2 linked regions of the Macaca fascicularis genome follow. The main gene of each other region encodes a partner of the protein of the gene in region 2 in a complex. Links are inferred from orthologs where the notes say so. Each region holds a gene or a part of one and is shown on either strand. Other genes may lie near its edges.

The links.
Region 1: the proteins of RPA1 (region 2) and PRIMPOL are in contact, whole or in part, in a crystal structure (PDB 5N85), measured with the Homo sapiens proteins. The link is inferred for Macaca fascicularis from reciprocal best matches to the Homo sapiens genes RPA1 and PRIMPOL. Residues at the interface, in NP_002936.1 of Homo sapiens: Arg31, Pro32, Ile33, Thr34, Thr35, Arg41, Arg43, Leu53, Ser54, Ser55, Met57, Asn85, Leu87, Lys88, Arg91, Arg92, Val93, Tyr118, Asn119, Glu120; in NP_001332824.1 of Homo sapiens: Asp514, Asn515, Gly516, Ile517, Asp518, Asp519, Tyr521, Phe522, Leu523, Glu524, Ala525.

Annotation. Positions count from the first base shown.
Region 1 is NC_088379.1:189,457,953-189,461,769, forward strand, and holds part of PRIMPOL (DNA-directed primase/polymerase protein), read left to right. Parts: intron 1-233; coding exon 234-359; intron 360-824; coding exon 825-987; intron 988-3,817. UniProt on the Homo sapiens protein: DNA primase and DNA polymerase required to tolerate replication-stalling lesions by bypassing them.
Region 2 is NC_088390.1:1,991,619-1,995,435, reverse strand, and holds part of RPA1 (replication protein A 70 kDa DNA-binding subunit), read right to left. Parts: coding exon 3,769-3,817; intron 3,618-3,768; coding exon 3,425-3,617; intron 3,272-3,424; coding exon 3,132-3,271; intron 2,634-3,131; coding exon 2,485-2,633; intron 1-2,484. UniProt on the Homo sapiens protein: As part of the heterotrimeric replication protein A complex (RPA/RP-A), binds and stabilizes single-stranded DNA intermediates that form during DNA replication or upon DNA stress.

The sequences.
Region 1 (3,817 bases), on a different chromosome or scaffold from region 2:
CTTTGCCGTATACAGTGACTGTATATATTTTGGTCTGTTTCTGGACCCTGTTCTGCTTCATTGTTCTATTGATCTATTCCTGTCTAATATAGTTTTATATATTAGATAGGCACCACACTGTCTAATACGGTTTTGTTGTAAGTCTTTATATCTAGGAAAAACAATTCCTCCAAATTTGTTCTTTGGAATTTCTTGGTTATTCTTGAGCTTTTGCACTTCTGTTTAAATTTTAGAGTCAGTTTGCCAGTTTATGCAAACAAATCCTGCTAGAATTTTTATTTGGATTGCCTCGACTCTACAGATCAACTTGGGGAGCGTTGACATTTTTATAATACTGAGTCTTCCAATCTATGCACATGGTAGGCCCATCTATTTACTTAGGGATTCTCTAATTTTTCTCTATAATGTTTTATAATTTACTGAATAGAAATCTTATCCATATGTTGTTAGATTTATTCTAGATATTTGTTTGATTTTGGTCCTTCCCTTTTCTCTGGGATTTGGCATGGCACAACCTCACTGTCTTAGAAGCTCTCTGGTTGTCTCAAACTTTCCAATACCTGCATCCAGCTTTTCCATTTGTTTCAGTTGCAGAATTGCTGCAGAATAATTGAGTTTGCTATTTCAGAATGTGGCATTCCTCCATGCTGACTGCAGTTTATTTTAATTTATATAGTGCTTTAATTTTGTTTATTTTGTTTACAGCTACATGTAGAAAATACTTATTTCTTTTATTAATGCTATATAAAAATTGAATATTTGCTGACCATAAAACTAATCACAGAAAACATGCTTTCATATTGTTTTATTACTTTTTGATGTAGGAGTTTATACAAGAAATAGAAACTTTCGGCTATATAAATCATCAAAAATAGGAAAGCGTGTGGCTTTGGAGGTTACTGAAGATAACACATTTTTTCCTATACCATCAAAGGATGTTTCTGACGAATATCAGTATTTTCTCTCTTCTTTGGTCAGCAATGTCAGGTATGTAGTAGCAGCATCAAACCATTTTGTATTCATGAATATTTATTTATTAAACAGTGAATGGCATTGTGTATTACTAAAATGTAAATCATCTAAATTCATTCTACCTTAAGAAAAAGTCAGTTCTTACCGCTCTTTTTTTTGAATACAGAGTCTTGCTCTGTCGCCCAGGCTGGAGTGCAGTGGCATGATCTCGGCTCACTGCAAACTCCGCCTCCCAGGTTCATGCCTCAGCCTCCGGAGTAGCTGAGACTACAGGTGCCCGCCACCACACCCAGCTAATTTTTGTATTTTTAGTAGAGATGGGGTTTAACCATGTTAGCCAGGCTTGTCTCGAACTTCTGACCTCAGGTGATCTGCCCACCTCGGCCTCCCAAAGTGCTGGGATTACAGGCGTGAGCCACTGCGCCCAGCCAGTTCTTACAGTTCTAAGTTAACCTTTCTCTTTTCTCCATTAGCTAAAAGATAATAGTAAAACATATATTTGAACACTTAATTTTCTCTGTATATCTTTTTAGGATTATATTTAGTATATTTTCCAATTTTTCTAAAATGATTATCACTTCTGTAAAGAAGAAAACAGTACTACTGGTATTGCATTTGGAAATATTTTACTATTAAATGCCTCATTTTCTTTTCATGTATGCACATACATATAATTTGTATAGCTCCTTTATTCAAAAAATATTCTTGAGATTATTATTTAGATGATTGTCATTTGTTTTTTCTACTTGATGTTATGAATATTTGTTAAAAATTTGCCAACAATTAATTGTAAATAAAACTTCTAATGCCTGTGTAAAATTTCCATTATATTGACACTCTGGAATTTATTGTGAGTTCTATTGTTGAAACTTTAGGTTCCCATGTTTCGTTCATTTTTTAAAAGTATTTAAGTTGGCTGGGCACAGTAGCACATGCCTGTCGTCCCAGCTACTCAGGAGTCTGAGGTAGAAGGATCACTTGAGCCCAGGAGTTCAAGGCTGCAGTGAGCTATGAATGCACCACTGCACTGCAGTCTGGGTGACAGGGTGAGACCCCATTGCTAAAAACTAAAATAAATAAATTAAAAAAAATAAAATCTGTGAAAGTCATCTTTCAACAGAAATACTGTAACAAGTCATCATTTGATGTTGATAAGTTATTGGAAACTGAACTTTAAACAAAGTGATGTATGATGAATCCAGTTGTTTTTTCTCATCCATGTTATAAGGCAGTGGTCGCCAGGCCACAGACCAGTGGTCTGTGGTTAGGAACTGGACCCTACAGCAGGAGGTGAGCAGCAGGCGAGCGAGCGAGCAGCCACCTTCCCACCTGAGCTCTGCCTCCTGCCAGATCCACAGTGGCATTAGATTCTTATAGGAGTGCAAACCCTGCTGTGAACTGTGCGTGGGAGGGATCTAGGCTGCACACTCCTTATGAGAATCTAATGCCTGATGGTCTGAGGTGAAACAGTTTCAGTCTGAAACCAGCCCATCTCGCCCCCGCCCCACCCGTGGAAAGATTGTCTTCCAGGAAACCGGTCCCTGGTGCCAGAAAGGTTGGGGACTGCCGTTATAAGGAAATGATGTTGAACAAAAGAACATTATTCAAAGACCTGCTAGATGTCATTTCTCTTAGAGTTGCAGTTTCCAAGAATCTATCCATGGCATTAAATGAGGACTTACTGTATTTGCCTTCATTCCCCATTTTTCTAGGCTGGCAACTTTTTCAGCCCAAAAAATGGTTAAGGTTCAGACTAAATTACCATCACCTTGCCGTAATTCTTTTCCTTTTGCCTTTCTAAATATAATTTTTTTTTTTTGAGACAATCTTGCTCTGTGGCCCAGGCTGGAGTGCAGTGGTGTGATCTCAGCTCACTGCAACCTCTGCCTCACAGGTTCAAGCGATTCTCCTGCCTCAGCCTCCCAAGTAGCTGGGACTACAGGTGTGCACCACCACACCCAGATAATTTTTGTATTTTTAGTAGAGACAGGGTTTCCCCATGTTGGGCAGGCTGGTCTCAAACTCCTGACCTCAAGTGATCTGCCCACCTTGGTCTCTCACAAGTGCTGGGATTACAGGTGTGAGCCACTATGCCCGGCCACTTAAATATAATTTTAAGGAAAAGTTCTCTGGAAATTAATTTTAGTAATTGTCTAAAATACAGTGCTGTAGGGATAGTTGTATCAGGTTATACAGTTAACAGCCGTTACCCAGGAGGATGGAAGATGGATTGTTTTTCTTCATATATATATTTGTACTCTTTGAGTTCTTTTAATAACATGTCTCAGAAGTAAGGTCTGAGTTTCCTACTTTTAAATGGAAATGATACTAACACCTACCTTATAGAGTTGTCGAGAGCATTTAAAAAGTTAAAATTGTGCATATAAAACATATACAGCTGTGCCCAGCTCATGGCATCTGCTCAGTGAATGTTGTTGGTAGCGGTAGTAGTATCTGAGATTCTGAAAATGGGAAGTGCCATAGCAGGAGTGTACAAATTGTATATTTCCTGCCACCCCCTGTGGGCACCAGAATAAGGTCACATTCTTTCTACCACTTATGGAGAAGTGCGAAAAGCAACATTGTTAGTTCTAGCTCCTACGAGAAAAGCAACTACAGCCGGAAGTGCAGGTAATCTCCCGATTACCCAATCCCGTTTCTTTCGCAGTTTAAATACGAATCTTACAGAGGTGGAGGGTTCTTCTACTGAATACAGTCACCTTGTCTTTTGTGTATTCCAAGTCAGTACCAGGTATTTTACTTCTTGAAATAAAGGCTAAATCCTTTATGATTATGAATGTACCTTTTCTTTCCGTTAATTTTAATCTGTTTTTCCCTTTGCTCT
Region 2 (3,817 bases):
CCATGCCCAGGCCCATTAAAATTTTTTTTTTTTTTTTTTTTTTAGAGATAGGGTCTTGTTATGTTGACCAGGCTGAGCTCAAACTCCTGGACTCAGGCATTCCTCCTCCCTTGGCCTCCCAAAGTGCTGGGATTTCAGGGCGTGAGGCAATGCTCCTGGCCCAAAGTCTACTGAAGAAAGGGAATGACCTCTCTTTGAATCCCAGTTGCTTTGATGCCCCCCAGTGGTGAAGAGAATCACTGCCAAAGTACCGAAGAATCCTTTCTTAAACTAGCCTTGCCTATCAGCAGTGGCCGGACCACCCCAGGCCTAAAATCAGAAACCGGGAAAGTCAACAACCAGTAAGCTATAAAGTGGCCGTCTGGGCTAGTCCTTTAGGCGACTAATGCTCATTCTCAGCCAGCAGCTGCATTCTGATCTTTCCCGAAAAGTATCAGTATGGAGAGGGACAGTCAATATACCGTGATAGCAAAAGGGTTTCCATGAAAGGCCTCCTATGCCTGATACAGAAGCCAAAAGTGGTTTTTTTTGTTTTGAGACAGAGTCTTGCTTTGTCACCCAGGATGGAGGGTAGTGGTACCAACTTGGCTCGCTGCAACTTCCACCTCCTGCCAAGTGCTTCTCATGCCTCAGCCTCCCGAGTTAGCTGGGACTACAGGCACGTGCCACCACGCCTGGCTGATTTTTGTGTTTTTTGTAGAGACAAGGTTTCACCATGTTGGCCAGGCTGGTCTTGAACTCCTGGCCTCAAACAATTGCCCACCTTGGCCTCCCAAAGTGCTGGGATTACAGGCGTGAGCCACTATGCCTGGTCCAAAAGATTTTATAAACCAGAGCAACTAATCAGAAGGCATTATCTTTTTTCTTGTAGATTTACTTTCTTAGTGAAATTTTACTTTTGCTAATACTAAAGTTAAATTAATTTGTATTAGATTATGAAAATTGATTGTACTTCTTGATCACACATCAACTGATATGAAGAAAAAGGGGCCAAGGAGAAAGTGCTCAGGATCACAGCTGCGGCAGAGAGGAGCCGGCCTGAGATGAAAGGCATATGCCAAACACCATCCGACGGTGGGTAACTGCACAGAGAACAGGCTCCCGAAACAGAGACCATCGAACAGAATGGATGGTGCCCTAAGCTGCAGACAACTGCCTTCTCCTGTCAGGTCAGCGGCTAAATCCCTCACAGGGGCACAGCAAGGCCCATAAATCTGTTTCTCCACTACTAGCTACACAAGTTTACGGTTTCGAAAGCTCCAAGGACATATTTGCCACCAAAGACCACTCGTCAGGAGTGGTGACTAGCAAGAGCAAGGAGAGAGGTGGCCCTTCTTACAGTAAAAACTCTACATTGTTATGGCCAAGATCTAAACATCTCTAATCCTTGTCCAGATAGCGTGTGTGCACTGAACTTGTCTTTGATCAATGCCAAGTTATTTTATTCTGGGGACAGCCGTGCTTTTTATGTTGACTAGGATCATGGTTACTGGCAAGTAAAATATGAAGACCTTAATGTGGGAATGCAATTAACCTGGAGTGGAGCTTCAGAGCGCGAAAGAAAATCAAGCAACAAGAACAAACCAAATCTGTGGCTAGTTCTGGTCAGACTATGGACGGACCCTGCAGTGCGGCAGACACGTGTGGCCCACAGTGCTCGTGCGGATGGCTTAGTGACTGAACATTCCAGAAGATGGCTCAGGAAACTGGTCAGACACCAGTGCCATTGGTTCAAATGAGTCAAAACAAAGGAGGAGTATATAAAATAAGCTCATTCTTCAGTTGCTTAAATCCTAAGACACAGCTGGAAACCGACGCACATCCCCCGTGACTACAGCTACAGGAATTACTGAAGCTCGGGCTGGCGAAGTGTTTTCCCTGCCCGCATCAATCTTTGCATCCCGTGTTTCGGTTTGAAGCACTCTTTTAAGACAGAGTTTGAATGTCCTGAAAAGCTAGATACAGTGAGGAGATTTTAACAGGCTCTCCTCATCCCTTGAGTGCTTTGGGAATAGCAATCTAATCCTAACAAAAAGCCCATTGTTCTCACCACACTTGATCAGAGTCCAGTGAATACACACTAGAAGATGTGATCGGCACCAAAGACTTGACAGAGAAAGAAAGCGTGGGTTCCCCCCACACCACCGAGGCCCAGAGCTGAAGCCCTGGAAAGCAAGGCGCCCTCAGCACTCCGCACAGCTGCTGAAGCCTGGCCGTCCCCTCCTGTGGCAGGATCGAGGTCAGCAGGCAGCACTCACATTCTAATTGCCTCCTCCGACTCTAGGTTTGTCCTGGGAGGACAGGTTTGTCAGTTTAAGGACTTTAAAGCCCTCCTCTCGGAAGGCATAACGCCTCCCAGAAACACAGGAGCTGCACCACTCAGTAACGAAGCCTTCTGCTCGGCAGAGCTCACATACTGACCGGAACCAGCTTTTCTCAAAGCCCAGCCTCAAGTAACCCTTTGTTTAGCCCCACAAAACTTACCAACCACGGAGCTTATAGGCCTCCGGGATGTCAGGATTCACAATGATAGTGCTTGAAGACAGCACGGAGAGGCTCCGTCCACCGAAATCAGAGACTCTGGCTCCTTTGATGGCCAACACGGGCTGTCTAGAACCATCAAATTTATCAGCCTGTAAGAGAAACACCAGACATAGACAAGTGTCACTGGCAGGAAGAACAGAGACGGTTTTTATAGGAAACAAGGCAGTCAATAGTAGAGTGAATGTAATCAGTGTACACGGAATCTTATACAAGACAGACCTCACACACGAGAATCTGCTCAGAGACACATCGAAACTATCACCGCTTTCCTCGAGTCGGGGGAAAGAGCGTTTCCCCACGTAAAGCTTGAATCACAGCAAATCTCACGGAAGATAAAGGATTTCAAGTATTTGCCAGACAGCACAACCCTTCCCATCTACACGGTGAAAGCTCCCAACTCATAGGACAAAATCACCCCCACGAGGAGCTTCTCCTGTGTGTGCTGACCGCCCCATCCTACAGGACAAGACCGCCTCCCCGCCAGGAGCTCCTCCTGTGTGTGCTGACCGCCCCATCCTACAGGACAAGACCGCCTCCCCGCCAGGAGCTCCTCCTGTGTGTGCTGACCGCCCCATCCTAGCACTTACATCTTCCCCCCACAGCGTGGCAGTCACCACCTTCCCAGATGTGTCCATCAGGTAGATATTCCTCTTGGCAACCTCTCTGTTGTTAGACCTCACTGTGATTTTAGTGGCATCTTCGTAGCTCTTGCAGATCCCGATGATGTCTAAAACACAGGCGCGTGTGAGCAGGAGGCGTTCAAGGCTCCCACTCTGACGCCAGCAAAGGGTGAAGGGCAAGCACTGAAGTCCTGACACCGCCCCGTACGGTGCAAAGAAAGCGAGTCCTCCCTGCTCCTCCGTCCCATGCATGAGCTTACCTACGAGTGAGTCTTTCGACTTGCTCTCGAGGTCATCGATCCCCGTGAAATCAAACTGAACCGTAGGTAAATGACGGTCGTCTTCACAGGGCATGACGGAAGTCTCGTTATTGAAGGTCATCTCGTAGTCATTTTTAACAGCTGTGAACTGTTTGTTAGCAATCTTCAGAGTGCCTTTCGAGAAATAATACACCTGCGCAGGAGGCCACGTCACAGAATTTGAGACTGCCATCATATTGGACAGAAACCCCTGGTCTGTCACCACACACCCCTCCCCTGGGCCAGAGTCTTCTCATCCGCCTCCACCCCGGGGCGTGTCAGTTCTCAAGTCAGCACAGCCATACCTTGTTCACTTCAATAAGGGGAAAGAACTTGTCCACTTGCTCGTTGAAA